Alligator mississippiensis: one gene and its partners. The main gene of each other region encodes a partner of the protein of the gene in region 2 in a complex. Links are inferred from orthologs where the notes say so. Each region holds a gene or a part of one and is shown on either strand. Other genes may lie near its edges.

Region 1 (7,031 bases), on a different chromosome or scaffold from region 2:
AATGTACTGAATAAATCACATTGTGGCCCTAAAGAATCAGGAAGTATGCAGCACCCACTATTCCAAGGTGGGTCCCAGAAAATTACTAGCCAAACACAAACTTACTTAGCTTCCAAGGTCAGTCCAGTTCTGTGGACTATGGTTATTGACAGTCTGAGTACTGCTTTTAATCTCCTCAGCCTGTTATAGGTTCTATGAATGCTGGACCTGCACATTAATCCAATTATCCTACTGCTAAGGAGCTTGAGCATGAACACTTCTTTCTTGCTTAGCTTTGTTTTGCTTTTAATGTTTCAACATGGAGATCAATTATAAAAACAAAACATGTTAAAATACTTTCTAGGCATAAAAATCATTCTTTTATTGACATTTTAAAATGCATCTTAAAGGTTCTGTTACTATTATTCTCCTGTTCTCACCTAATCTCCTCTTCTTTCTGGTTCCTCAGTTCAGCTGGTACTACCCCTTTTTTGTGCCTGGTGTTCAGTTTCATACAGCACCTACTGGCTGCCAGATCTGACAAAGCTAGAAATGTCATTATAAATAAAAGTACTTGAAGGGGATGGTTGGATTCACTGAGCAGCCAAGAGGGGAGCTATTGGGCTCTGAGCACACCTTTGCTACGGTTGAATCATATGGCTGGAAACTAGTGTTTTAGGAAGTGTGGCTATGTACCTTGGACGAATTTACAAATAAGAATAGCTGGGCCCAGTTAAGATTGATATGGCGCCATCAACCATCATGAATTTTGACCACACGAGTCTGGCCCACAACAACAGGTTTTGTTTTAGAATCAAGAAATTAAGTACAAGTTTTAAATTCTATTTTGGATCCTGAATTTGGGGTCCTTGAATTGTATGTTGTTCATGTGTCTAGGCTCTCTCCACTACAGCAGTAGTAAATGGACTAGTTTTAATGCAGTAACATGACCCCAGAGAGTAGGATTTTAAGAAATGAGACTCAGGAAGACACTGCAAGACAGGAAGGTAATTGTCTTAGCTTAAGTAGACCATGAACAGCTGAGAAAGCAAGAAGGGAAAAAAAAAAAAAAAAAAGCAGCCCATCAGCCGGGGAAGCTTCCAACAGAAAGGGGTGTAGGGATAAGCCTAGAATGCCTACCTGGAGCCTTCAGACAATGAAGCTGTGGAAGAAAACAGGAGGAGACAGGCTAGAGGGTTTATTTTTTTGTTTTACTTTTTTTGTTTAAAAAAAAAAAAAAAAAAAACCATCACTAAAAGAGGGGGGAGTTTGACAGTCTCCCATAGGGGAGGTGGAGACACAATACCCTTGTCATTACAATTACTGGCCAGCAAGGAATTACACAGCGAAAGCTATCACAAAGAGAACACAGAATTAATAAGAGCCCAGATTCGAGTTCACTATTTTAAGGCTCTCTCATGCCAAAGAGAAGTTGGCTGAAGGAATATCTTAGGCTAGGTACAAACATTAAGTTTATCACAGGTTACACATGCAGGAAGTGCTCTACAGCTGTAGCCAAACAGATGGCCACAGCACAGAGTGCCCAGTTGTGTCCCCCCCACCCCCAGCACAGCTGCCACATGACCTGCATGGGCCATGTCAGCACGCCCCCCCCCCCCCCCCCCGATGACTTGGGCCTCAAGGGAGGCAGCCCAGGACAGTATGGTTTGATTACAGCCATGATGGGAACCAATGCCCTGGGGGAAACTGGGGAGCCCCTGGGAGAAAGAAGGGCAGGGGGAATTGCAGCCTATAAGCCATTACTGTGGTCATAGCCCCCTTTCATGGAGGTTTTGGCCAAGGCCAGAAAGGGGCTGGGGTGGGAGGGAGGAGTCATCCCACCCTGACTGTTCACAGTGCAGGGCACCAGGCCTCTAAGTGCTCAAAAGGCTTCTATCCTTCAGCACTCAGAGCAGTAACTCCCACCCCACCATCCTGAAAGGCAGTTGAGGCACCTAGTTCCCTTGGCCACTTATCAGCCCACGTCCCATTGTAGTGAGACACAGCAGGATCTCTGGTGGCCCAGGCATGAATGACTGGTGCCTCCTGAGACCAGGGGGAGGGTACCATAGAGGCAAGAGGGGACCACCTGCAGTCAGTCAGTGGCAGCTAGCAAGGACTGCCCACAACTACCACTGGCCACATCAGCAGCAAGTGGGGGACAGGTGTGGATGGTAACCACCCACAGAAGCCAGCAGCAGCCACAAATCAGGGGGGGGGGGAAAAACATGTGCACCCCTACATGTTGCCTATAGGCCTAGGTGAATGCCCAGGCTCTGGTAATCTCTCAGTTTTCACCTCCGGGTTTAGAGTCTCTCCCTTTTCCTCACCTGCCATTTTTTTGGTACAACTTTTCCCCCCCCCCCTCAAAGAGTTGGGAGGCTGCCTCAAATCCCAAGGAATCACTGGTCTGGCTCTTTGTTCTCATAACAGCTTTGTAAGTTAGCACCTTAGGGCTCTGACTACACTCTAGCTAGGCCCATACCTTGCGCATGTTAACAGTTCATCATCCTGGGAGAAGATCCCTCAACCCCAGGCCAGTATCTCATCTAGTTTCTGGTCTCACCTCCTAGGATTTGGGTCTGCCCCTTCCCAGGTCCAGCTTCCTTTCTAAAGGGTGTAGCACTCACCCCTCAAGGCTCTTCTCTCATCCTTCCTGGGCTCCCTCTTCAAGGGTTCTAGCTTTGCCCTTAGGGCCCTGATAATGCCCCTTTAGGGCCCCAGCTATGTTCTTCAGGGCCTTGGTCTGTGCCCTCATCTTTAGACTGCAGCCTTCCTCACCCATGTTCTGAGCCCAGCCCTCAAGAGGGCTTGTAAATTTCATATACCCCTTTGGCACCTCCACCCCTCCTGCCAGTCCCAATCCCAGTCCTTGGATTATAACAATAGGAAAAAGTCAGGCCTCAGGCCATAAATCAAATCAAGCTCTCTAGCTACATAAGAAAATCCCCCCCCTCTCATAGTCAACTCTCAGTTCCTTACCAGCATGCATGCTACTACAGTGCCTTAGCCATTGTAATACAGATCTCCTTCCCTGGTTGTCTGCAAGATAACCCCCTAGGTCCAAACCCTGAGTTTATATGTAGTTGAGGCTCTGCTCTCCTGGTCTTGTGACCACCCAGCCACCACAGGTGCTTCTCTTTAGGCTAACTGGCTGGTCTTCAGAGGTGCTTTCAGCTGTTGGGATAGAAGCTAATGCTCTACTCTCTGGCGTTACTGTGCTGCAGCTAGTTTTGCACTGGGCAGACCACTGTACTAAGCAGTCTCTGCCCAATTGAACTATTTCAATGCCACTACCTCCACAGTAGGCACTGTCTCAGCCTAAGGTGCTCAGGTAGCTTGTTCTGCTACTCTTAGCAAGAAGCCTGGTCCCCCTGGGGTTCTTTTCACTGCTAGCTCCTTCTCAGTAATAACAGGGAGTCCCTGGCATTCAATGAGAACATAAATCTGCCTTATTGACATCCCCCTCTCCCCCCTATCTTTTAAGGCCAAGCTGATCTCCTGGAAGAAGTGAGTCTCATTGCAGCTATCCAGAGCAGTTGTGTGGAACCACCTCTCTCTCCTCCCAAGCACGGAAGGGAAGGCACTGAAAGCGTTTATTGAGCTCCCAAGGCAAAGTGTAAAAAACAGTTACAACTGCAGGTATATGCTGCCCTGCTCCAGTTGCCATTGCCACAGGCTGAGTTGGCAGAGAGCACCCCAAGGTCAGGGTGCAGTTGTGGTACAGCAGGAATGAAAACAGTTCACCCTAGCAAAAAAAGCTCCTAGTCTTTCCTAACTCCCTCTCTCTCTCCTTCCAGCTGCCTCCTGGAATATTCTCAGTAGAGGAGCAGCGTTGTAAAGCCAGGGGCAGCCCATGGCAGGGCTCTTCTTATGCAGCTGGGGTCTGGGGAAATTCTCTCTGGGTCAGGTCACAGGCTGAGCAGTAAGTCAATAGCAGCAGCAATAGCAAAGTCTTCCAGAGGGGGTGTCAGCTCTATCCAATGTTGAATGGCAACCCAGAGTTCCCCAGTGTGCCATCACAGCAGATGACCCCTCTCCAGCTGTTGAGATACTCCCAGGGGACCATGTTGCAGGAGCACAGTGTATTGCCTGGAGTTCCCCCAGGAGAACCAGAAAAGCTAATCCCTCAGGGCCTGGCTGACTCTCACCAGGGGAATATTGGGAGTGTAGACCCAGTTCATCAGGGATGCGGGGCTGAAATGTCTCCCCAGATAGGGAAGCATGGCAGTGACGTACCGATACGGGGGGGAGGGTCCCCAGGTGCAGGGCTGTGGGGGGTGCCGACAGGCCACGAAACTGGAAGGGGTGGCAGTGGCGCAGGAAGCACTTCCAGTTTCTGATTTCACACCCCTGCCTCCGATTGGCCGCTGTAGGGGGTGCCTCCCCTGAGATTGGCCACCACCGCTGCTGCTCCCCTGCCGCAGGCATGGCCTTAGGTTCCTACAGTGGTGGGCACGCTGAGCTACCGTGCACACTCGCCGCCAGGATCACAGCTGGCCCAACACAGGCATTGGGCTTGGAGGAGGGCAGATTGAGACCCCCAAAGTGCAGGAGAGAGTCACGTAGGGGAAGGGCGAATCATTCACCACTACCCCTGGCCTGCTCCCTCCTTACTGTGGGGATTGTTCCACGACCCAGCCCAGCCCCCATTCACTGTGACTGGGGCCCCGGCCTAGCCCATTCGTGGTTCAATCAGAGCCCAGAGGCTCCTCCAGAGGTGCGGCACTGGGCAGCCAAGGGGTGGGGGAGGGCACATGGCCCCCTGATCTTTGCATGGGTGAGGGTAGGCCACAGCTGCGAGCTGGGCTCAGCCTCTGCTCCATGTCTCCGTGCCTTGCTGCCACCGCTTCAAATGTGGTGGGTGCCGCTCCATCCCCTCCAGCCCGGCAGGCAGCTGAGGCTGGCCCTGCTTCGGGACCTGGCTCTGGGCACCCCCCGCAGCCAGTGCGCAGCCAGGGCTGGTGCATCCGGGTCAGGTGCCGGGGTTGGGAGACAGCCGAAGCTAGCACGGCTAGTGCTGGTGCAATGGCCTGGGCCAGTGTGGTCAGGATGCTGCCAGGGCTGGGGCCGGTGCGGCCAGTGCCAGGAGGCAGCCATGGTTAGTGTGGCATCTGGGGCTGGCGTGGCCAGGGCTGGGAGGAAGCTGGGACCAGGGCTGGGGCTGGGAGCTGGCCGGGGCGGTGCAGTGCTGGGCAATGCTGCTTCCCTTCTTGGCCCTTTCCCCTCCCCCTTCAGACTTTTCCATGGGGGGGCGTGTGCGCGCGCATGCACTTGTGCAGACTCACCCCCTTCAAATTTTGTTTTCTTCCTCTGCCTATGCCCCTGCATCTGGCTGCTTGCTGCCACTGCCTTCACATCTGGCTGTACGCCACTCCCGCCTGCCGCTGCCACTACCACCACTGCTGGCTTCTTCGGGGCAGGGGGCCCCAAGACTATTTCTTGCAGGGGGCCCCAAAAATGGTGGGCTGGTCCTGATGCCAGCCATGGAGTCTGGGGGGAACTCTTCTGTTGTCCGTGGCTCCACTCTTGGCCTAAGTCCTGTTGTAGGGGATCAGTGCAGCGTTGGTGGAGATAGGCAGTCCCAGGGGTCAGGTCGGCTGCAATACAGGAGCCTCAAGTGTACTCAGGGGCCATCTGGACTCCTCAAAGGGAGAGACTGGGTCCTGGGGCCAGGGAGCCCATGTTGAAGAGCTAAAAGTCCACTGTGGTGAAGCCACCCATCACAAAGCCCCCACCCCCCAAGCAACAGCTGCTTCCTGACTTGCAACTCTCTCAGACAGACAGTGGGTCTGGGATCACACACCTGTCCAGCTGCAACATTGGAAAAGTCCTTGGTCTTCACTTCTGAACCTTGAAAGCAGGATGCTAGGTCAAAAGCCACCATACCCCATGCTTCCACTCCAAGGTTTTGTGTTTGAGTTCAGCCCCTGTGGTATTCCCCCTGACATCTCCCGCCCACCCCGTCCTAACTGCCCCTTCCAGCCAGGTTCTCCTGCCCACTGCCCCCTCCGAAGGTTTGCTGGTTTGTATGAATTGGGAAAAGGGAATGAGTTCTGCCATGGGCAACATTCAGCAGGTTTTCTTTATTAAACACATGAAAAATTTGGTGGCAAGTTTCTTCCTGGTGCCACATTCCCCCGTACCCTGGTGTGTGCCTAATGTGGGGAGGGAAAATTGGGGAGGAGGAGGGGAAATGAAACAGTGTCCAGGTACCATTGTGGCCAACACTGCCCAGGATGCAGGGCTGAGGAGCCTAGGGCAAGAGACCCATGCCATGGTGCCAGGGCACAGGCACTGGCCCTACTTATGTGGGAAGGGCTCCTGGTCCACAAGGGTGAGGAAGTAGTCAGCCAAAGCTTTGCAGATCTGGACAGCCTGCTACTGTGCAGAGCCGGGGCCCACAACATCAGCAGGGGGCTTGCCATCTCCTCCATCCCTGTGCTGCGTGTACCTACACTGCCAGATCCACTCCACACGCTGTGCCTCCTCAGCTCAGGCCTCACAGAAAACCTCCCCCTGGTCTTGCAGATGTTGTGAAGGACACTAGTGGCAATGATGAGTTGCATCAGGTTTCCCTAGTCCACCTCAAGGCACATGCTGAAAGTCCACTGGCATACCTTGAGGTGGCTGAAGGTGCTCTCCATCATCATGCAGCACCTGCTCAGGCAATAGTTGAAGCGCTTCTTCCAGCAGTCCAGTTGCCCCCCATAGAGCTTTGTCAGTCAGGGCTGGAGGGGGTAGGCAGGGTCCCTGATGAGAAGCAGTGGGACAATTATGTTAACGATGATGAGTCCAGGGGCCCCAGGAGTGTAGTGCCTGCTTTGTATCAGTCCAAGGTGCGGGGAGTGGCAAAGGACCTGGAAATTGTGGGTGCTGCCTGCCCAGCTGGTGAAGATGTGAGTGAAATGGCCTCAGTGGTCAATGACACCTTGCCGGACAATGGAGAAGTAGCCCTTGTGGTTGGTGAACGTCTGGGTGGCCTGACCCAAGCACAAGATGGAGATGTGGTTGCTGCCCATGGTCTCCAAGCAGTTGGGAAAGCCCATGCA
Region 2 (7,619 bases):
CCGCACAGCAAGATTGGCCATGGGGGGACTGGACCTATTTTTTTTTAAGTGCTATTTTAACTGGGATATACAAAAACTAGGACTCTTGGTTCCAAAATGATACCTTTTATTAGACCAACTGGAAAATGGCAAGAAAATTGTCCTTTCCTGCAAGCTTTTGGGATTAAAGTCCCTTCGTTGGTCTCTGGGAAAAGTGTAGATGGTACAAGATGGTCAAAAGTCCCCATAGGCAGGAAATAAACTTCATTTTTGCACAGGGGGAACTGAAGATGGAAGTCTGTCCCTCTGGGTCCATGACAGTGTCTGTGAGCTGTGTTAAGTAGCTCTTTGATGTGTTGATCAGGTAGAATCCCTTCCCTGGAGATGTCAGATGGCAGGCAGGGAGGCAAAAAAACTTCCTTGTTGTTCTGTAACGAAGTTTAAAATCCAAAATCGGCTAAAATTCGGGATTTTAACTGGGATTCATTCAGGTTTTGTTTTTTGTCTTTTTAAATTTTGTGTCTCTGGTCAAATCAGTCAAATTAGTTCTGAATTTCATCTGATGAGCAGGGCCGAGTCATTCAGGCCCATATAGCATTACCACTGGCAAGTATTTTCCCTCCAGGGCTCTTCAGCCTAGGGTTTCAGACACTCCCAAATGCATGGCAGGCTTCCTAACGCAGGCCCCAAACCCAGAGGTCTGGGGGTTCGGATGCCTCTGAGTCTTACTTGCCAACAGGCCAAAGAAGCAATAGTGCAGCGTTTCTCAACCTGTCGGTCTCAACCCAAAAGGTGGGGTCGCAAGAATAGATGTAAAGGTTACGAACAAACTTCAGAAATGGTTCAACACACTTTAGAAATGGATTCTCCTTTAAAGGTGAAAAACATGACAGTGTGGCTTTTCCCATGCAAGCTGGCAGAGTTCCCCTCACCCCGCACACAGGGGCCGCGGGTCGGCAGCGAGGGGCACTGGCCATCCATGCTTACAAATGGGTCCTGGGACAAACAAAGTTGGGAACCGCTGCTAGGGCAGACCGTGGTAGGGGGCCTGTCTGCAGTGCATCGGGCCCGTCTCCACCTGCCCTACGCGACGCCATTCAAGGGGATCTGACCTCCCCGGGAAACCACCTCCTGGTCCTTCCCCTGCCCGGTAGGATGAATTCAGGGCAAAGGACGCAGGGGGTGGCATGGACGCCCCCCGGCTACACCCCCGTTAGCCTGGCTCCGACGGCCTGGTAGGCCGCGGCCAGGCTGGAGCTCTCCGCAGCAACCACGGGCGCTGTCAGACACACGCTACTTGTGCAGAGGACCGGCTGCGGAGCCAGGCGCCGCCTACGACCACCTCAACATGGGGGGAGGAACTACAGCTCCCGGCATGCACCGGGGCCAAGGCGAGGCTTGCGGGGACCTGCCGCTCCCGGCATGCACCAGGCCCGCTCCGGCGCCAGGGCAAAGCACGTTTCCCAGCATGCCGCGCGGCGTGCCGTTCCGCCCTGCCCGCTCGGGTGCGCAGTGTTCTGGTTGCCATGGTGACCACTCCGCCGCATCGCGCGCCACGGCCCCCCCCCAGCTGTCCCGCGGGCACGTCCCACCCCCTTGTTCAGCGAGTTTCCGGTTTCTCCCTTCAGTCGTTTCCGGCTCCTCCCTTCTGGCGCGGGGCACTTCCGCTCCCACAGTGCCCCGCGCCGAATCATGGACCACAATGGTGAGGAGGGGCGAGGGAGGGAGAGAGGCCTGTGTGGGTCTGGCCCGGCCCGGCCGCCTCGGCGCTCGCGGGCGCTGCCGCTGGCTGCGGCGGGGCTCCGGGGGCGGCGGCCGGGCCGCGCTCTGAGGCCTGGGCCCCACGGGCTGAGCCCGCGCCGAGCGGAGCCGAGGGCCGCGGCCTCCCCAAGCCCGAACTGGCGCCGGCCCCGCCCCCGCTTCCTTCCCCTCGCTGACGCCCCGGGACGGGGAGGGCTCCGGGTGTGGCCGCCGGCGGCCCGTGCTTTAGCCCCGGGGGCCGGGGGTTGCTGCCGTCGACCTCGCTCGTTGCGGTCCCTTGTGACAGCGGCCGCGCTCGGGCCCGCCCTAAGGGGCCGGATCGAGGTGCCCGCGCTGGGCCGCACCCGTTCAGCCTCGGCGTTCAGCGGGTCCCTGGAGGGTCTCGGTGCTGACCCCAGGGCGGTGGGCTTGAAACCCCTTACCCAGCTGCTTGGCCTTTAGGCAGCTGCGGTGCCAGACTCTTGCATCTGACCCCACTCCTATGGCGTAGTGAGCCGCGATCCCTGGAAAAAGTCCTGTCCTGAGCATTGTCTAGAGGCTCTCTTGCTCCGCTTGCAGCTTGCTGTGCAGGGGCTTGAGCCTGGGTTTCAGCCCAGAAATACGAACCTGTTCTTAACTTTGTTGCCGGCCTCCAGACCTGACCTGGCTGCGTTTGTAGTCACTCCTGTGCAAAGAGAGCTTGAGCCTGGGGAATGGCCTGGAGTGGAAAGGCCACAGATCCCAGAGGTCAGGGTGCCCAGGGACAGGTGTGGGGAAGGGGCTGAATCCAAACTCACAGTGCGGGATTAAGTGTGTGCTATTAGTGCATGCTGACTGGTGCCCCTTTAAAATGTGTCAGGTCATAACCAAAAACTTAAATTAAAAAAACTAGTGAAGTCATGTAAGAGCATTCTCATTTTTCGGTGGACCCTTGTAGGTTATTAGCTGGGTTAGAAGGATGATAGGAAGTTAGAAACTTCCTTGAGTCGCATTATTTCCTGCTGTAACTCCATTGGCTTCTCGAGTCTGTAGACCTAAACCAGATGAACAGGCCAGTAGAGTTTAGTTGATTTTTAAAAAGCTCTTTGTTCATCTATCCCACTTTTAGGAACAGCTCTGATAGTCTCTTCTGGGCTAGTTTTTACTCTACACCTGCAAATGTTTCATTTCCTAATAGAGGTAGTTAGCTTTGTTAATCTGAAGTCATTCAGAAGGCGAGGTAGATGTGTACCTTTATAGACTAACGAAATAAGATGTATACAGACTACAAGATTTCACTGCATCATTTCCTAATGATACTCTTAACAGGAAGTTTCCTAATATTCAGCCTACCTTTTTTCACCTGTAGTGCTAGTTTGTACAGTTAGTGTACATGGAGTGAACTGGTATATAAATAGCCTGAGGAGCTACCTTGTTCAGAAAAGTTTTCTCCAAAGATCTTGTGCCCAAAAAGTACAGAAGAGAATGTACTTTTTATATCTAAAATACTTTCTGTACCAGAAGAGCTTTCAGAAAGCTTACAGTGCAAGTCCATTGTTTTGTATTGTGTTGTATGCCAAGAGAGCCTGTTAAATGCTTCAGATATATTTTTTCCTCTTGGCTTAGCCATCTTACCCATGCTAGTAGATCCTTCATTCATACTTCGTTCACTGTCAGTACCAAAGCAGCCCCCTAATTACCTTCAGTTCCCGTGAAGGTTTTAGAATAGAACATAGCCTTCGTTTAGGTGTCTGCACTGGCAGTGGTGTGGACTGGAGGAACTGAAAGGTGTTTGCTTTATGACTTTTTTTGCTCTGCATGTGCAGGCACAACTGTTCTGCTGAGAATTTTAGTTTTTTGGCCCTTCATGTACTGCCTCAAAATTGTTCTCCCTGTCGACTTCACTGGAATTGCTGTGCTGCTGACTGCTAACAGATGTTAATGAGCAGCAACACAGTTTTTGTAACAAGAGGCATGGTTTCCTAAAGTCAAGAACACCCTTAACCTTACAAGTATTGGCTCTGTGATGCTCCAGTCCTCTGGTCCCTAAAAGAGAGATCCATGAGTTAAAATACACTTTGACTGAGGAACTGGTTTAATTAGTGGAAAACCTATTCCCTCCCCCTCCTCAAAAATTCCAATAAAACTAGAAACAATTTTTAATAGAAGGTAAGAAGTACACTCACGTTGTAATGGTGGCATTCAGAGCACTGTGTGAAATGGGTACACTTGACCACCCGGCAAAACGGGCAAGTGCTGAGTCTGAGACGACACTGGTTTGAGAGTCAGAGAAATTTACCATATTTTCTCGATTATAAGACAAGGTTCCCCCCCATTCAATATGGGAAAAATTAAGCCTTGTCTTATGATTGCATACGACTTATCTGAAATCAGAAAATGCACTGGGGATGTCAATGTTAGTGAGGAGGCCACATGGCCAGACACCTAGTATGTGGTCAGTCATCAGAGGGCACCTGGGCACCCCTCAGCATACAGGGTTTCTGGCTGGCCAGTGCAGTCACTCCAAGCTGCCTGCCAGCATGTGCCGCATTGCTTTGGCACCCTCTGGCTGGAAACCACACACACAGCTCAAAATAATGCAGCAGGTGCAGGCCATGCCCTGTGCCCACAGTGCAGGGTTTCTGGCCAGCGCATACTGAGTTGCTCTGAGATGCTGCTCAAGTAGTGGGTGCTGGAGCAACCTGGCACATGCTGGCAGCCTAGCGCCAGGTCCCTTTCTGTGAGCTGGGTTGTCCCAGCACTTGCTGCTTGAGCAGCAGCGCAGAGCAACTCAGCATGTGCTGGCCAGAAATCCCATGCTGTGTGGACAGTGCCTGGCTGGCGCCTTTAGGTCACTTTGAGATGCATGTGCAGTTTCCCGTCAGAGGGTGCCGAAGCAAATTGGCACTCGTTGGCAGGCAGCAGCTTGGAATGACCCTGCACTGGCTGGTCAGAACCCTGCACACAGCTCAAAATAACCTGGCAGGTGCCAACTGGGCACCATCCCTGCAGCATCAATTCTGGATAGATTACTGGACAATGCATGGGTACTATATGCAAATTGATATACCCATGTTTATTTTCAAGGTTATTGTTTTCAGATTTGTTCCTCACTTCCATGTGTGCAGGGAGAGCAGGGTCTGACAGTAAGGAGAAAGGGAAGGGTCTGCTAGAGAAAAAATGGTGGGGGAAGCAGAGAGCAAAGGGCTACCTGGTCCCACAAATTTGGTTTACATGCTGTAGCAGTGAGAGGGGGACAAATTCGAGGCAAGCCTCCAATAATTTGATTCTATATCTGGAAAATGATAACACATTTTTATATTTTCCATATATAGAATGTAATTATGGGGGTCATCTTATCATTAGGGTCATCTTCTATTTGAGTACATACAGTTGTTCTGTTCCTGGCTTTGCACCTGAACTGCTAAATGATCTTCAGCCATCACTTTGCCTTTACACACCTGTTTCCTTCTAACCCTTATGTAATTTGTTCAGTTTGTAAGCATGAGGCTTACAATGGACTTGTCCCTAATCTTAGCTAAGCTGTCTAAGCACTACTGTATTATTAATAATACAACTTGTATGATCTTTTAATCTGATGGTTTGTCACTTATATGTGAAATGGGCCAGAAGGGGTCACTGTTAAATGAAATAAAAGCAACAGTTCCAGCCTCTTCTGGCCAGTTCAAATGATGATGAACCCAAAATGTATTACATAGCTGCAGGAAAAAGGGTATTGGGTTGTAGGGGCCTCTTTAAAAAGAGTTTGTTTTTACCTTATAATTTAAACTATGGTCTGGGCTTGTAGATGAAATGGAAAAACTAGGTGAGAGGTGTTAGGGCTTCTTCATATCAAGATAAGAGTTTGGAAACTTTTTTTATACAACTTGTCCACTGTGATGATTACAATGACCCAGCATGGTAAGAGAACATAATTTAAAATATTATGGTTTTGTAGAGGTTTTATAGTATAGTGAGCCAATATTACCATTAGGCACTACACAGACGCACAAAAAAGGCCTTGCCTTGAAGAGCTGATGGATTGATTTATTCCAGAATAGATTGATTTTTTTTCCTTCTAATGAGTAGTGTCTGGTACAATAAATGAATCTTAAATTAGCTTTAATAAAACCAGAGTTATACTTCTAATTTGTCTAGATTGCTACTTAACTTTTTAGAAACTAATATGCAAAATAACCAGGAAATTACAATAAACATATTTTCTTCTTGTATAGACAATGATTTGCAAGGAACTAATAGTTCTGGATCATTGGGTGGTCTTGATGTTCGCAGACGAATCCCTATAAAGCTTATCTCCAAGCAAACCAACAAAATCAAACCTGCACCTCGAACTCCAAGAAATATGAACAGGATGCCGTCAAAGACACAAGCTGGTGATGATGGTAAACTAAATAAATTAGTGCTGTGAGAGGAGAGGGAATTCATTTATTTTTTGTTTTGCAGTAGTGGTCAGATGCCCCATTCAGTAGCGGAGCCCTCATATGTTAGGTGCTGTGCGAACACATAAGAACATGTGACTGAGACATCCACATATTGTGTTATAAGCAGTAAATGGCCCCTGCCTCCAAAGAACAAGGAGTACTCTTTTTATTCTGTTTCTGTTCCTCTTTTTGCAGAAAGTATCTAAGCATAAAATTAGATTTAGGCCCAGCTGACACTGAAATGCCATAGTATTTCTGATTGTTGTTTAAAATGCTCATCATTCTATACTAAAATCAGTCTGAGTCATTTAGAAAGGTAATAGTTTGTGTTGAAGTATGGTCTCATTTTTCCCCAGAAGAATTTGATTATAATGAAGAGGAACGATACGAATGCAAAGGAGGTGAAATGTTTGGGAATCAACGAAGATTCCCTGGACCCATCTTTTGGGACTTCAAGGTACAATCTTGGATGCAGTGGTTTGGATGATAATATAAATTAAATTGCTCTCTAAACTTTTAAATACATGGGGAGCAAGTTCATCTTTAAAGTGTAGAAATGAAATGAGATGCATCCTGCTTACCCTTTCAGAAACCAAATGAAAAATAAGCACTTCTCTTACTCTTAGCATTGCTGTAAAGGTATTTTGTCCTTTTTCTCAGATTGTGCACAGGTCCATGTTTCTTAAGAAATATTTAAGAGCTTGCAAGCATATTGGTAATATTGAAAATAAGCCATCATAATATTGCTGTTCCTTACAGATTAACTTGCTGGGAGAAAAGGATGATACCCCAGTCCATTTTTGTGACAAATGTGGATTGCCTATTAAAATGTATGGGCGCATGGTGAGTAGAGCTACTTGTGGAAAAGGTAAAATTTGAAGCAGTTTTAGAAGTAGTTCTCAGTGGCTTACTGGCAAAATTGTAGGTAGCTAGTGGCTGTGTAACATCATTTATGATGGCTACTTAATATTTGTAAGAAAACATAGGAGTCATTGATTTCAAGTCAGATTATTGTGAAAGAAGGTCTGCATCTCAGAGCAGAAGCAAGTAGACGTACCACTATAGGGCCAATTGATTTTAGGGGAGCTGTGCAGAACCAGTACGAGGTATCTCTGTGCATCTCAGTTCAGACTCAGCCACTTAATTTGTACAAGAATGCCAAACTATTCATGTTCCACATATTTTGTGCTGTTACCTTGTTGAATCAAGGAACAAAATGGCAGATATGGTGAAAGGATGGCAGATGCAATGTTTGATTTGTTCCCATTGTAATTAGTTGAAAAATACTTTTTAATGTGAAAGAATGTGTAAGAGGGCTATAATATATATTTAACATTAAAGTGACCCTTTTCAGGTAGAGTACTGTATATTAATGGGAGACTTCAGCTGAGTTAGTAAATTCTATATAGTAATCGGTTTTGTTTCTCTTAAAATAGCAATCAAACCTAATGCTTAGGATGAATTTAGAATATTGCCTAT
Region 3 (7,165 bases), on a different chromosome or scaffold from region 2:
TGCCACGTTATTAAAAACAAATAAAATGGGCTCTATTTAAATGGGATTAAAATTAATTAGAAACTAAAGATCTTACAATTTTGGTTGAGGTTTCTTGGCCCTCCACCAAAATGATCGGCCTTAAAAACAACAGGGCTGTGTGACACACAAAGAAAACATGGAATCTGAAAAGACAGTGTGGGTTAGGCAGTGTCTTTGACTATAACTATCACCATATGTTCTTCTTCTAACTTTCCCAATGTCCTTAGTGCTGACTGTAGGTACTGCTGAGAGAATTCACAAGGAGGGAAAGCATAAAGCATGCCTGTGCTGTCTCTGCCCTTCGCCCCTCCCACAGGCAGGCTGATCACCCCAGCAGCCTGCTTCTGTTTCAAGTAGGAGACCAGATTCCTGAGAAGCCGACGCTGCAAGCCAGGCTCCACAACAGGGAGGGTCCCCTCAGCCCCAGCCCCTCCTTGGGTGGCTTGGGTAGCCAGAAGCACAGCATAGCCGTTGGGGCTGCCTTGTTTAATGCGGCGAGTTACTTCATCCAGTTTGGGCTGGTCAAGCCGAAGTCTCTGAGCGATTTTGAGCTGTGTTAACTTCCCACCAGTTGAATGGTCTTTAAGGAGCCCACTGATGACACCTAGGTCTCCCTCCAGGATGTGCATAGACGTGGGGAAGCAGCTGTTCTTTAGTACAAGCAGCCCATTCCAAGCTAGCTGCAGTGTCTGAGCATATTCCGATAAATTCTTTAATTTTTTGGTCTCAGATTTTGGCTCCTCGTGACTTTTTGATTCCGATTCGCCAGTTCGATGATTGCGTTCGCTGTCCCTCTTTTTCGACTGGGGAGGATCGGAAGTTTCACGATGGGGTTTCTCCTCAGCCACGTGCTGATTGTTCTGAAGGGAGTTTCTCTGCTCTTTCTCCGTTCCAGACTCCGTAGTGTGATTCTCTTTGCGAGCCCTCTCTGGGCTGCGATCTGAAGCTGGCCCACTCGTGGCCTTTGTCCTGCCTCTGTCCTCATAAGGCGAATGAGTAGTCCTTCCACGGTCACTTGAAAGACTTCGGCGTTTCCGCCGCTCATCCCACGGCTTGGGCACGTTGCGGTCGCTGTCGCTGCCCCATCGTTCTCCACTTCGACTGCGCACTGACCTGCTGTAGCTTTCCAGGTTATTTCTGCGTTCAGCATTTTTGGCAGGACTGGCCCAATCTGCTTCTGCAAAACTCCTGTCTCTGTCTGAGTACAGGAGATGTGGAGGAGTCCTATCTCGCACCCTTAAGTCTTGCTCTAGGCTTCTGTGCCTGCTATACCCATCAGCTAGCAGCTCATAGTGCACTGGGAGTGGTGCAGGCTGGTACTGCTGGGGGTATCTTGTCTCTTCAGCTTTGGCAAAATCCACTCTAAGCCTCCTCTCTGGTCCTCCCAAAGGGAAGCCCCTCATTTGCGCGCAGGCAGCCTGAGCAGCATCCAAGCTTTCATACTGAATGTAAGCAAAGCTATCCCCCTTCACGTAGTCGATAGTCCTGATGCTACCAAAGCGGTCAAACTCCCTAGCTAGGGCAGCCAGGGACGTGCTTGGACCAAGACCCCCCACCCAGAGCCGCGTAGTAGGGTTGGCTTTCCCATAACCAATTTTGATGGGGTTTCTGCCAACGACCCGGCCAGACATGGCCACCTTAGCCCGATGCGCCATGTCCAAATTTTGGAACTTGAGGAAAGCGTAGGCTCCACCTTGGCCCCGGGCTGGGCGCTTGATCACCACTTCTTCAATAATGCCGTATTTTTCAAAAGCGCGTCTCAGCTCCACCTCCGAGACGTTGTGGTCTAAGTTGCCAATAAACAGGTTCCGGGTTGCTCTCTGGTCGTCCTCAGGCATCAGGTCTTCCTCAGCCACGATGGGGTAACTGTAGGGCCGGCCACGCTCATCATACAGCCCATAATAGTCCAGTGCCCGCTCCCGCTCCCGGGAAAGCCCAATAGCAGCTGCCTCCAGTGCGAAGGCGGCGGCAGCCGCGTGGGCATGCCGTGGTCTCGGCTCCCTCAACAAGGGGCTAGCAACAGGCGAAAGCGAGCGCTGCTTGTACTGGTAAGTGCCATGGATGGGCGGCAGGTAGCTGAGGGGCTCTGGCGAGGGTGCGGGCGGCGGCGTGCGGCTCCGGCGGCCGCCGCGCAGGTACACCGGCTCCACCTTGAGGGGGCGGTCATACAGCAGGAGCTGGCGGGCCCGGGCATGGCGGCGGGCATCGCGGGCATCTCCTGGGTGCCGGAAGTTGACGTAGGCGACGCGGCCGAGCTCGGGCGTGTGGGACAGCTTGACACTGATGTCACCGGCGCCCCCGCCAGAGAAGCGCTGGAAGAGGCGGAAGAGCCCATCCTCCAGCAGCTGATCGGGCAGCGCCGCGCTCAGCCCGCTCACCAGCAGCGTCTTGTACTCGCAGGCGCCGGGCGGCTCCCCCGCCAGCCCGGCCGAGGAGCCGCCCAGCGGGGCCAGCAGCAGCGACGGCGCCGCCCCCGGCGGGGGCCCGGCCAGCAGCAGCGACGGCGCCACCACGGCCCCGGGCAGCGCCTTGGCCTTGGGCACCCCGAGCGCACGGGACGAGGAGGACGAGGAGGAGGAGGGGGCGGCCTGGGTGCTGGCGCGGGCGCTGGAGGCCGAGCCGCCGCCCGCCGGCCGGTGGTTGGAGTCGCCTCCCCCGGCCCGCTCATCGCCGCGGTGGCTGCGCGAGCCGGAGCCCGAGGCCGAGGCCGAGGCCGAAGCGGAAGCGGAGGCCGAGGCGCCGCCGCCGGGCGTGGGCTTGTCCCGGCTGCTGCGGGAGGCGCCCGAGCTGCGGTGCGGGCCCCGCCGGCTGCTGCTCTCCCGCTCCCGCTCCCGGGGCCTCTTGGCGGCGGCGGCGGCGGCAGCGCGCCCCCCCGGCCCCGCCGGGCTCGAGTCCCGCTCGCTGCCGCGCTTCATGGCGCCGGGGCCCGCGGCTCAGGAGACGCCTCCGGCGGCCGCCGCCATCTTGGACAAAAGGGAACGAAGGCGGCTCCAGCCGCCGCGCCGCGCGGGCCTCACGTCATCACCCCGCGCCCGCCGCAAGGTGACGTTAGGCGCGCGCCGGCTCCCGCCGCCCGGCCCACGTGACAAGGGAGACGCGCCTGGGCCACGCCACGTGACGCGGCGCAGCCAGTAGGGCGGCGGGGTTGGGAGCCCTGGCCCCGCCCCCTCCCCTAAGCCGCGCGGTCGCGCCTTGGTTGAGCAAGTAGCGCAGCCGCCGCCGCCCCCCGGGACAGGGCCCTGCTGCCGCCACACGTGCAACGCGGGTCGCTCCGGCCTCACGTGCGGGGCAGCGGCGAGGGGAGCGAGACCGAGCAGCTGTCACCTGAGCGCTGGGGAAGGCGGCCCGCGAGACCACGGATCAGGGCCCTTCCAGCCACAGGCCAGTGTTTTAAAGGACACAGCTGCGAAGTTCGGGCCACTTGCCCCATGCTGCCTCAGGCACCTCCTGGCAAAGGCCTCAGGACAGTGGCACGAGGCAGCTGCAGCAGGAGAGCTGGACAGGGGGAGCGGCAGAGACGAGGAGGGCCAGGAGTCGCGCAAGGAAACAACTGCAGCACGACCTCTGCCCAGGACAGCAACCAGAGGAAGCGGCTTGCACGGCTGACTGTGCAGTTTGGAGACAAGAGATGCAGGGACCTCCACAGAACTAAGCTCAACCCTCTCACAAGGCCCAGAAAGAGTAGATTTCTTTTTACTTTAATAAAAAAATCCCATACATAGTGTGATGCCATAAAGCAAACCAGAGGCGAGAGAAATACAAACTAGAGACAAAATGGGGGCTGTGAAACCAGCATTTCACACATGGCTCCACACTTCCAAGTCTGACACTGTTGGGAGCCCACTTAAATAAGTTACAAAAAAGGCTTAAGAAACAAAATAGAGAGGTTAATGTAATCTGTGTGAGGTTCTAGCAGGATGGAGACTGCCACAGTGGTCAGAGATCCGTCCGTGAACTGGCTGCCTTTGGTGCATATTTAGGCATTAGTTCATTGATTTTACGTATATAGTCTGATTTCTCTGCGCAGCCCTTGCATGTTTCACCCCAGTCATCTAGGATCTTCTTCAGCTCTTTCACTCTCAGTTTCTTCAGGTCCACAGTGCTCAGGTCAATCTGTTTGTCTACAGAAAGAAAGGAACATCAGTAACTCAAAGTAAAGAAAAAAAAATACAGCTTAGAAGGGGTTGCGACAACTTCTCTATCAGAAAAGACTACGGGCTTGGTCCCTTCAGTAGCTGCCTACCCTTCCTTATATCTTTTGCTAAGGAAGGACTTGTGCTTTGAAAGTTTCTGCCCCAATCTACATTATAATGAAAAAGAATATAAAAGGGAAGGCAGAATGAGGCTTAAAAGAAAGCTATCAGGGGCATTATGTTGCAATTTAATAAGAATGAGGCAGGGCAGGAAGGGAGAAAATGCAAATAGGAACTGTGCTCAAGAGCTCAAATAACCAGGACACGCACACAGCTGTTGGACAGAGGAACTATAACAATTGTGAACAGACATAATATAAGAGGGCAGGACAAAAAAATTGAAGGTGAAGTGCTGACAGAAAAGCAGAGATACAGGTGATAAGAAAGCTGAATGGTAGGTACAAAAAAACGGAATCAGTTAAGATTATGGAGGGGAAAGAACAAGATGGGCAAAGTAATGAGAGGAAGCACACTTCAGGTGTTAAAAACTGGACAGATTAAAAAAAGTAAGACCAGAGAAGAGTTAGAGGAGTCCACATAAGCTACAAAGGGCATGGAATGAGTTCTGGCAATAGGGAAGGAGGGAAAGGACAAGGGCTTTTGTGCTACAGAAAGGGGTGTGGTTTAGTGACACCTTTGAATTCTTAAACCCAGGCTAACTTCAGAGCAGTAAACTTTATGACAGTAAAGATAACAGAATTGTCCCCTGCCTTCTCTGGGGAAGATACAGTCTTAAGACTAAAGATACGCAAAGCATACCATAAAGCTTACAAAGCACTAGCACACTGGAGGAGAAAGAACAAGAGGAAGAGGTTGATTTGAAAAAAAATCAGAAATAGATGCGAGGATAAGAGTAGATGTTATCTTTTCTCCTGGCTTGTCCCCCAAGATAAAAAGGTAACCTGAAGGGAGTAATCAGCAAAATTGGAGATGGTAGTCATGGAAACTTAAGTGGTTCAAATGTAAAAAGAAGAATCACAATGTTTGAGCATCTTTGACCAATGCAAGCAGTTTCAGTGGGGTAAAAATTAAAGTCAGTCTTCCACTGAACAAGAATTGCTTAAAATAAAATTAGTATCTTCTAAGCTCTTCTGATGCACCTTGGCAATGAGGAGCCTTGCCACCAATAGCCTCAGGCCTACTTAATACAAATCAATATAGTCCACAATGACACATGCTGCTCCTTCAAAAACCCCTTGCCCAATACTAGTTTATGAACTAATGATTCCAACTATAGACTAAGGCTTTGGAATAACTGTAATAATAAACAATACATGCAGAAATTGAGAACTGGGTTAGTTTCTGCCATAGCAGCCCATTTCCAATTGCAATCAGAAATGTCAGCATGATGGGCTGAGGCAACAGAACAAACATTGGTGAGAGCACAAACAGAAAACCAAGTTCTGCCAGCAATCCTGATGGCAGACCTCGTGGTGTCCTGTGACCACTGGGGTCCCCCAGGGCTCTGTCCTTGGACCCATACTGTTCAACATCTTCATTAATGATGTGGACACTGGAGTCAGAAGCGGACTGGCCAAGTTCGCCGATGACACCAAACTTTGGGGCAAAGCATCCACGCCAGAAGACAGGTGGGTGATCCAGGCTGACCTGGACAGGCTCAGCAAGTGGGCGGATGAGAATCTGATGGTGTTCAACGCCGACAAATGCAAGGTTCTCCACCTTGGGGAAAAAAAACCCACAGCATCCTTATAGGCTCGGCAGTGCTATGCTGGTTAGCACTATGGAAGAAAGAGACTTGGGGGTCATCATTGACCACAAGATGAACATGAGCCTGCAATGCGATGCTGCAGCTAGTAAAGTGACCAAAACGCTGGCTTGCATCCATAGATGCTTCTCAAGCAAATCCCGGGACGTCATTCTCCCCCTGTACTCGGCCTTAGTGAGGCCGCAGCTGGAGTACTGCGTCCAGTTTTGGGCTCCACAATTCAAAAAGGATGTGGAGAAGCTTGAGAGAGTCCAGAGAAGAGCCACGCGCATGATCAGAGGTCAGGGAAGCAGACCCTACGATGACAGGCTGAGAGCCCTGGGGCTTTTTAGCCTGGAAAAGCGCAGGCTCAGGGGTGATCTGATGGCCACCTACAAGTTTATCGGGGTGATCACCAGGATCTAGGGGAACGTTTGTTCACCAGAGCGCCCCAAGGGATGACGAGGACGAATGGTCACAAACTACTACAAGATCGTTTCAGGCTGGACATAAGGAATTTCTTTACTGTCCGAGCCCCCAAGGTCTGGAACAGCCTGCCGCCGGAGGTTGTTCAAGCGCCTTCATTGAACACCTTCAAGAGCAAACTGGATGCTTATCTTGCTGGGATCCTATGACCCCAGCTGACGTCCTGCCCTTTGGGCGGGGGGCTGGACTCGATCTTCCGAGGTCCCTTCCAGCCCTAATGTCTATGAAATCTATGAAACACAAGAGCAAGTAGATCAATTCCATTAGCTTTCAAAGGATGCCGATTCAAAGCTAGTTTACATGAGAATATGCACCATGGAAAGAAGCCAATGCATGCTACACTGCTAATCAATGATGATCTATGCTGCAGAGAAGCACGATCACTGATCAGTTAACTAGACACAGGGTCTGCAAGCTATGGCCCAAGCAGGGGCAGATCAAGAGGGAAGGGCACAGGGGAGGAGTGCACTTGCACTCCCATTTGATTCCTGCTCCACCCAAACTTTAGAACCAACTACCTGGGAGGGGCACTGGGTGCCTTTCTATTCAGGTAGTGCTGATGAAGTCAACTGACTTCCTGGCTCAGGATTCCTGCTAATCTTTCTCCACTCTACAGGGGAAATACCATGACCACTAAGGTGGTTTTCCTGCTGGTAGGTGAAAACCACTTTCTTGGCAGGCAGTAGTACCCTGACTAGGGTAATGCATAGTTAGCCTCCCACTTTAACTTCCAGTGGCAAGATCTTGGCTATACATCAGC
Region 4 (7,520 bases), on a different chromosome or scaffold from region 2:
TGTGCGGATAATCCGCTGCAGCTGGTTGGTTTTCACCCAGATGATCTCGTCTACCCGCTCATACCTGGGGCGGGGGGTAGAGGTCAGCTGGGAAGGGTGTGAGGGGGGACATGTGGGGGCACATTCACTTGTACACACTCACCCCCAGAGGTTGAGGCACTCGCGCCCTAACTCCATGGCCCTGTGAGGGAGACAGCCCCAGTGAGACCCTTGACCTGCATCAGAGACACCCATGACCCCTCTGAGCCAGGTCAGCCCCTCCCAGACCCTCAGTACCTCCCAGTGACCCAGAGGAAGAGGAAGCCCTCGTCCTGTAGCACGGGGATGTTGAGGCGCCGCATTTCATCGTCAGTTAGCGTCCCATAGGGCAACTCCATGTGGATGTCCCAGGGCGGGTCAGCCATCACTACTGCAAACTTCCCCAGGATGCTCACGTCCAGGTATCGGATGTCGCAGCAGATCCACTGGGCCGGGAGAGAGATGTGAGGGCAGACTCCTGTGCTCTGCCTCCCACCCCAAGCTTCCCCTGCCCAGTTTTACAGGCCCCTGCCAACAAGCATCCCCTCAGGCAGTGGGCACCTGGGGTGGGAAGAGACGGTCAGCGCTGGCGTCGCCACCCACAGCTTGCGGCAGGGCCAGCTCCTGGCCGGGGTTGTGGTCGCGGGTGCCAGGGGCACCAGGGTCAGCGCAGGCGTCGATCTCGTAGTGCACGTACTTGCAGGTGTCCATGTGGAAGCAGGTGTTGAGGAAGGAGCAGTCGCCCAGCGACTCGTCCGTGTGCTTGTTGATGATGCGCCTGCGGACCAGGGTGGTGGGTGGGCACGGGACCCAGACGTCCTGGCCCCTGTCCTACCCCTTGTGCAACCCCACTGGGTACTGTGGGTAAGGACTGGACCCAGGAATCTGGGTGCCCAGACACTCCCACTTTGGAAGCTGAGCTCCCAGCTCTCAACCCCTGCCCCTGCTCTCCGCAGAGCCGTGGCAAGGAACGGACATGATGGAGGGGGTGTGTGTGCATGAGTGCGCACAGGTACACGCGTGTGCACACGTCTCTCACCGGAAGTGCAGCTTGCGACAGGGCCGCTCGGCGCCCGTGGCTTTCACGCACTCCTCCTTGGTGCCGTAGTCGCAGAACTCCTGCACCTGGGCCCGGCCGCGCGACCGGAACTTCTCTACAATCGACTGCTCCTTGGCCGTGGTGGTGTTCAGCAGCTCCAGGATTTCCTGGCTCACCTGGGGTCAGCGGGGAAGGGTCAGCTGGGCCCTGGATATTGGGGGTTCCTCCCTCCAGAGCCAAGAAAAGAACCCAGGAGTCCTGGCTGCCAGCTCCCTGCTCTAATTGCCCCACTCCCACGCCAAAGCCAAGGCAGAACCCAGGTGTCCTGGTTTCCAGATCCTCTGCTGTAATCCACTATTGCCTTCCCCCAGACTCTGAACTGAGAAAAGACCTCAGGAGTCTTGTCTGTCCCGCACTTCCTTCTTTAACCTACAAAACCCTTGCTCTGCCTCCAGCTGGGACGAAACCCAGGTGTGCTGGTGCCAGGCCCTACCCCCCCGCAGACCACACTCCTCACCCAGAGCTGGGATACAACCCAGGCGTCCTGGTTCGCAGTTTCCCCTCTAACTCACTAGCCCTTACTGCCCTTCTAGAAGCTGAATTGAGGCGTCCAGCACCTCCTGCCCCATCCCTCCTCCCCAGCCAGAGGCCTGCACCTTCTTGCTCTGCTGCTCCTTGGTGGACTGCTGGCTGAGCAGGCTCTCGATCTCCAGGTCCAGGTCTGACGCCTGCTTCCGGGATTTCTTGGCTGGCTCCTTGGCAGGCTCTGCGCTGGTTGTGGCACTGGGGGTGGCACCGGCCGGGGAGGAGACAGCGCCCCCGCCCTCCTGGTCCGCGCGGCGCTTGGCGGCCCCGGCCTCAGCAGGGCCCCGGCGCTCGGCCACGGCACCTATCATGGCCGAGAGCTTGGAGTGGTCCGCGTAGGTGACCAGCGTGGGCTGCTCCTCGTCGTCCTGCAGCAGCCCCCGGCGCACCTCAATCAGCTCCTGCGCGGCAAACTTCTGCAGCAGGCTCTCCACGCTGCGCGGCGTGGCCGGGGCCTCTGGCTGGAGGGAGGGGGCAGGGGAGGCAAGGTTACTGCGTACGCCGGCAGGGGGGTGAGGGGGTTCGGATCAGCCCCACGTTGGGACAGGGCTGCACCCAGCCAGGGAGTGACGAAGGGGTGTCTGAAGGCACCAAACCACAGGGAGACAAGAGGATCCACATTGTGAATGTAGTGGGGACGCCAGGCTTGCCTGCGTTTGACCCCAGGGGGGTGATCACAGCAGGGGAACCAGGACTCTCATCCCAACTCCAGGCAGGGGGGTTAATGGTGGCGGGGGAGGAAACCCCAGTGCCGCGGGGGGGGAAGGCGAGCGGGCAGCCGAGCGCACCGTGGAGATGGCCAGGCAGATGGCGACGGCGTCGGTGGGCAGAGCCAGCCCCAGGTCGGCCAGGTGGTGCAGCAGCTTCTTCTCCAGCTCGGGGTCGGTGGCCAGGTCGCGGTCGCGGGTGCCGGCGGCGGCGCTGGGTGCGGGCGCGGTGGCGAGCACGGGGCTGTCGCTGCGGAAGGGCGGCGTCAGCGCCAGCTCCGGGTTGCGCGGGTCTGGGGGGCAGCAGGGGGTCAGCAACCTCTGCCCTTGCACCCCTCCAGGACCCCCAGAAGTCGCTGTGACCTCTGACCCCCCTCCCTCCTATGACCCTAGCCACCCCCCACCTCTCTGACTCCAGTCCTCCCCGTGACCTTTGACCTCGCCCCCTCCCCAGCGCTGCCCCTTCCTTGACCGTCGCACCCAACGGGTCCTGCTTCCGCCGCCGCTGCAGCCGCTCCCGCAGCGAGTCCAGCTGCTTCTTGTGGGCCTGGATGGAGCTCCATGTGTCCGACATGGTCCCGGCAGCTCCAGGCACCGCCCGGGCCCCAAACACCGCAGCACACCGGCAACCGGAAGTGCCGCGGGGGGCGGAATTCAAAGGCGCACGGCGGGTGAGCGGATATGCCCAGTTCCAAAATGGACCCCTGACACACACATGCCCATAACCAAAATGGCCGCGGAGTCAACTCAGAGCTGAGGTCACGAAAAACCTGTCCCCCCTGGAAACATTTCCGGTTTTAGCTCTTGCGGCGGCCATTTTGATTACGGGTATGTGCGCCTGTTGGCAGCCATCTTGGAAGTGGGCACGTTTGGTGTCTACGTGACGGCTGCCTGTGGTTATTTACAGAGCGGCTCCCCCGTGGCCATTTTTATCATGGGCGTCAGTCATATTTCGTATGGGCAAGCCGGGCGGCCGTATTAGCAATTGGGTTCATCGGTGCGCACGCACTCTCGTCCTCCGCCTCCACTATTTTAGTGACTGGCACCAGAGGCCTCGCCTCTTCCGGGCGGCCATACTTGTTACCACTCTGGGGGTAGCCATGTTGGTTACTGGCACCAGAGGCCGCCCTTCTCCGCTGTCCAATGGACGGCCGGAGAGCGACTGCCCACAGTCATTTAAAAAAGAAAAAAAACAGGGCTCGCGTCACGTGGGGGGAGGGACGCTGGAAGCAGCCATGTTGGTACTGGCATGAGGAAGCTCTTGCCCTCATGTTGTCTACTGGCACTGGGCATCGTCTCCAGAGGTCTGTGACCATTTCCGGTCCCAGTTGCCGCGATCCCGCCACGAGCCCTATCACCTTCCGCCCGCCTCCATTCGTTTTCGTACCACCACGTGGCCGGAAATGGTGGTGGTAATAAATCCGCCATATTGGTTGTGGGCAACCTTGTTGGATGCTGGCGGTGTGAGGGCATGGCAACCATCATGGCTACTGGCAGCAGCTCACTGGAAGCTGAAGAGGCCATTTTGGGTACTGGCAGCACGAGGCCTGTTCCAGCCTCATGAAATCTCCAGCCTCTGGTGCCCCCAAGCACCCCCCCACCATCCCAAGATGCAGCCACTTCTGGGGAGCAGCCCAGCCCTACACAGAGTGGCACACCCTGGCTGCCTGGGTCCTTCCCCCACAAGCAGCTTTGGAGGCACTGCTCTGGGCCTCAGTTTCCCCCACCTCAGGGTGCAATGACCCTGCTCCCTCCTCCACCTCTGCTTCCTGCTCGGGGCAACAGCGCAGGGGTCCAGAGAAGGAGTGAGGAAGGGCTGTGTGGGGATTAGCACAGGCACTCCCCCTCCATGGAGGCCTCCCAGGGAGGCTCTTGAGCTGCTTAAGCCTGGGTATGTCAGGCAAACAGTGTGAGAGGGGAGCAGAGCAGGGGCCGGAGCCACAGGCTCGGGGGCGGCGTGTAGGAGTGCGTGCACCCCTATACCGCCTTCACGTGGCATGCCTCCACCTCGTCCCCCCGCCCCGTCCCCGTCCCCATCCCCAGCGAGAGTCACAGCCGGCCACGGGGGATTTGTCAAACTGCTTTAATGTCGAGGCCAGCACAGTCCCGGGCTCCTCCCCGCTGGCGTGGCCGGGATGCTGCTCTACACTAGGGGGCGCTCTGCTACAGGGGGCAGGGGTGGAGCCGCCCCGGCGCAGGGGGTCTCGCCTCCTGCCCCGTCCCTCCGTGCTACGGTTAGAGTAGAAGACTAAACTGCCGCTAATGTCGTGGTGGGCGGAGGAGGCGAGGGCCGGTGTCCCCGGCAGAGCTCGTGGCCTCCTGCAGCGTCCCCCTGAGACGGAGAGAGGAGAGGGGGAGGCAGGGTTAGGGGGGCAGCAGGGGGAAAGGCCAGGTCGGGCCCCTGCACCCTCCTAACCCCTTCCCTGGTGAGGGATGCTGGCCCAGGGCGCGCGAGCCCTGAACCCACATCCCTGTGACCTCTGATTTGGCTCCACCTTACTGCTTGACCCTTGTCCTACAGACTGACCTTCAGCCCTACTCCATGAGCCACCTCTGCCCAGTGGCCTCTACCTACAGCCATCTCCTGCCAAGCACATGCTGACCTCTCCCCATGTGACCTCTGCACCGACCCCTGCCCTGCTTGAGCGGCCCCCACCCCGTCCACCATCGGCCCCCCACCCATGCACCCTCTCAGCCCTGGCCCCAAGCCACTGAATGACCTCTATCTCTACCCACCCAGGAGCCACATCTGACCCCATCTCCATGCCACTGACTCCTGACCCCCCTGCCCTTGAGCAACTTTTGCCCCCTAAAGCATCTTAGCGAGTGACCTCTGACCCCACCAAGCCCCTCCCAGAACATGGCTAAACAGGGATGGGGACAGTCCCAGAGACTGGGAGCAGTGTGAACAGGGGCCCTGCCCCATCCCTGCCTACCATAGGGGCAGGGGACCTTACCTGCCGAGTGGGCTACTAGGGGTTATCTCCTGAGCCGGCTACTTCTCCGCCTTCCCTTGGCCATCTGGGGCCGGCTCGCTGGGGGCCGGGGGTCCCAGCAGTAGTGTACTAGCAACGGGCTTCTCCTTGGCCTCGGCAGGGGCTGGCCGGGTGGGCGCGGGGCCCGGGCTGGGCCCATAGAGGGCCGGGGCCGCAGCAGCGAGGGCAGGTGCTCGGGCTGGCTTGGAGGCCAGCCCACCGGCGGAGACGAAGGCGGTATACTGGTTCCAGAAGGACAGGGGCCCCACGCCCACCAACTGGGCCGGCACATCTCGCGAGAGGAAGTCCTGCAGCTTGGCCGTGCCCCCTGCCAGCACCGGCACCGGGCCCTCCAGGGTAGGGCGCCGGCCGCGCCGTGCCGGGCCACAGCCCCATGCCAGAGGCACCTGCCATGGCACCGCGGGGGGGAGTAACCCGTTAGTGCCCACAGCAAACGGAGGGGCCTGAGGGGAGGGGGAATAGCTGGGGTGGGAACAGCCCCAGGTGCCCTTACCTGGTGGTGGGCAGCTAGGACATGCTTGCGTAGTGCGGCCCCGTCAGGAAAGGCTTCTTTGCAGACCCCACAGGCCACGACTGCCCCCTCCTGGACCCGGCCGGCGCGTGGCTCCTCCACGCCAGCCCCTGCAGCCTCCTTCTCCTCCTCGGCGCCTCCTGCTGCTTCCCCTCCTCCTCCCCTCTCAGCCTTCGGGGGGACGGGGTCCCCCGTGGGGGGCAGAGGCGATCCCTCCCTGGGCGGGGGAGGGGAGCTAGGCTGGGCACTGCCCTCCCCTGCCCCTGCCCCTGCCGCCTTCCCAGCATCCTCCTCCTCCTCCTTGGCAGGAGCTGGCAGCACCTCCCGTTCAGGGCTTGACACCCCCTCAGAGCCGCCCGGGGGCTTCTCGGCGCCGCTGTCCAGCGAGTCCTCGTCAGTGCCTTCCTCCTCGTCGTCCTCCTCCTCGTCTTCATCTTCCTCCTCTGACAGCTCCTCCTCATCCCGGGGCAGGGCAGGCCCCTCGGCAGCGGGCTGGGCAGGGGCTGGGCGCGGTCCCTCCCCTGCGAGGGTGGCGGGGGGCTCGGGGAGCAGGGCGCCGTTGGGGATCTGCCCGCCGAGGTGCATGCGGACGTGCTGCTGCAGGGTGACGGCGTTGGTGAACTTCTTCTGGCAGATGGGGCAGGAGTTGTGGGCGCGGGCGGCTGGGCTGGCCTTGTGGCCGACGCAGTGTGCCCGCAGGTTGCCGCGGGTGGAGAAGGCGCGGCCGCATACCTTGCAGCGATAGGGGCGCTCCCCACCGTGCTGCCCGTAGTGCAGCCGCAGGGCCCGGGGGCAGCTCAGCACCCGCAGGCAGATGACACACTGGTTGGGGGCAGCCGCGCCGCCAGGGGAGGTGCCGGCCATCAAGGAGGAGGAGGATGAAGGGGCTGGGGGCGAGGGGGCCGCCGCCGCGGTGCCGCCCACCCCGGGCGTCGGGGGTGCCTGGCGATCGATCTTCTCCACCAGCTGCTGCAGCTTGGAGGTCTCGGAGGGCGAGGTGCCCAGCGGCTCCAGCAGACAGGGGAAGGGGAAGCCGGTGCTGCCCGCCTTGAAGTGGCCAGCCAGCAGAGCCCAGCCGGGCAGCTTGCCCAGGGGCAGGCGGGCAGCCTCGGCCTCCCGGCCCGGAGGGGTGTTCTCGTCCCCCTTGGCCCGGCCCTCGGCCGCCTTCAGCAGCACCAGCTTGTTGAAGACGGGCAGGGCCTGCGAGGCGGTGGGGGTGGCCGCCCCGGAGAGCAGCGTGAGGCTCTCGGTGGCACTGAGGCCCTTGCGGGGCTCAGGGGCCGGGGTCGGGGGCTCCTCGCCCGGTTCGGCCTTCTCGGGGGGCACGGACATGCCATAGGGCAGCCCGGTGCCGGTGAGGACGTAGTCGAGGTGCTCGGGCACGGGGTGGGGGTTCATCTGGACGTGGGGGTACTTCTCGCGGTGCCGGTGGAAGTGCACCTTCAGGTTGCCACGGGTGGTGAAGCGGTTGCCACAGACGTTGCACTTGTAGGGCCGCTCGCCCGTGTGCGACCGCAGGTGGATCTGCAGGGCGCTGTCGCTCCCAAACACCTTGGCGCAGAAGCGGCACTTGTGCCGCCCGCCCGCTTTATCGTCGGGCCCCGGCTCCACCGCCCCGGCCCCGTTCTTGGGCCGCAGCAGCCCTGGCGAGGACGCCGGCTCCA

Evidence for each region.
Region 1: CBLL1 (region 2) and WTAP share a complex: the UniProt entries of both Homo sapiens proteins name them as parts of the WMM complex. The link is inferred for Alligator mississippiensis from reciprocal best matches to the Homo sapiens genes CBLL1 and WTAP.
Region 3: CBLL1 (region 2) and RBM15B share a complex: the UniProt entries of both Homo sapiens proteins name them as parts of the WMM complex. The link is inferred for Alligator mississippiensis from reciprocal best matches to the Homo sapiens genes CBLL1 and RBM15B.
Region 4: CBLL1 (region 2) and METTL3 share a complex: the UniProt entries of both Homo sapiens proteins name them as parts of the WMM complex. The link is inferred for Alligator mississippiensis from reciprocal best matches to the Homo sapiens genes CBLL1 and METTL3.

What each region holds. Positions count from the first base shown.
Region 1 is NC_081824.1:137,733,724-137,740,754, forward strand, and holds the start of WTAP (pre-mRNA-splicing regulator WTAP), read right to left. Parts: upstream 3,011-7,031; 5' UTR 2,972-3,010; coding exon 2,962-2,971; intron 1-2,961. UniProt on the Homo sapiens protein: Associated component of the WMM complex, a complex that mediates N6-methyladenosine (m6A) methylation of RNAs, a modification that plays a role in the efficiency of mRNA splicing and RNA processing.
Region 2 is NC_081827.1:28,120,675-28,128,293, forward strand, and holds the start of CBLL1 (E3 ubiquitin-protein ligase Hakai), read left to right. Parts: upstream 1-4,610; 5' UTR 4,611-5,597; coding exon 5,598-5,619; intron 5,620-5,933; coding exon 5,934-6,101; intron 6,102-6,496; coding exon 6,497-6,597; intron 6,598-6,899; coding exon 6,900-6,983; intron 6,984-7,619. UniProt on the Homo sapiens protein: E3 ubiquitin-protein ligase that mediates ubiquitination of several tyrosine-phosphorylated Src substrates, including CDH1, CTTN and DOK1. Targets CDH1 for endocytosis and degradation.
Region 3 is NC_081835.1:46,186,572-46,193,736, reverse strand, and holds the start of RBM15B (putative RNA-binding protein 15B), read right to left. Parts: upstream 3,011-7,165; 5' UTR 2,937-3,010; coding exon 183-2,936; 3' UTR 1-182. Other genes in the region: MANF (mesencephalic astrocyte-derived neurotrophic factor), read right to left, coding at 3,958-4,142. UniProt on the Homo sapiens protein: RNA-binding protein that acts as a key regulator of N6-methyladenosine (m6A) methylation of RNAs, thereby regulating different processes, such as alternative splicing of mRNAs and X chromosome inactivation mediated by Xist RNA.
Region 4 is NC_081830.1:3,897,546-3,905,065, forward strand, and holds the start of METTL3 (N6-adenosine-methyltransferase catalytic subunit), read right to left. Parts: upstream 3,005-7,520; 5' UTR 2,924-3,004; coding exon 2,830-2,923; intron 2,643-2,829; coding exon 2,431-2,642; intron 2,104-2,430; coding exon 1,714-2,103; intron 1,234-1,713; coding exon 1,058-1,233; intron 797-1,057; coding exon 580-796; intron 465-579; coding exon 277-464; intron 182-276; coding exon 143-181; intron 65-142; coding exon 1-64. Other genes in the region: SALL2 (sal-like protein 2), read right to left, coding at 5,345-5,731, 5,839-7,520. UniProt on the Homo sapiens protein: The METTL3-METTL14 heterodimer forms a N6-methyltransferase complex that methylates adenosine residues at the N(6) position of some RNAs and regulates various processes such as the circadian clock, differentiation of embryonic and hematopoietic stem cells, cortical neurogenesis, response to DNA damage, differentiation of T-cells and primary miRNA processing.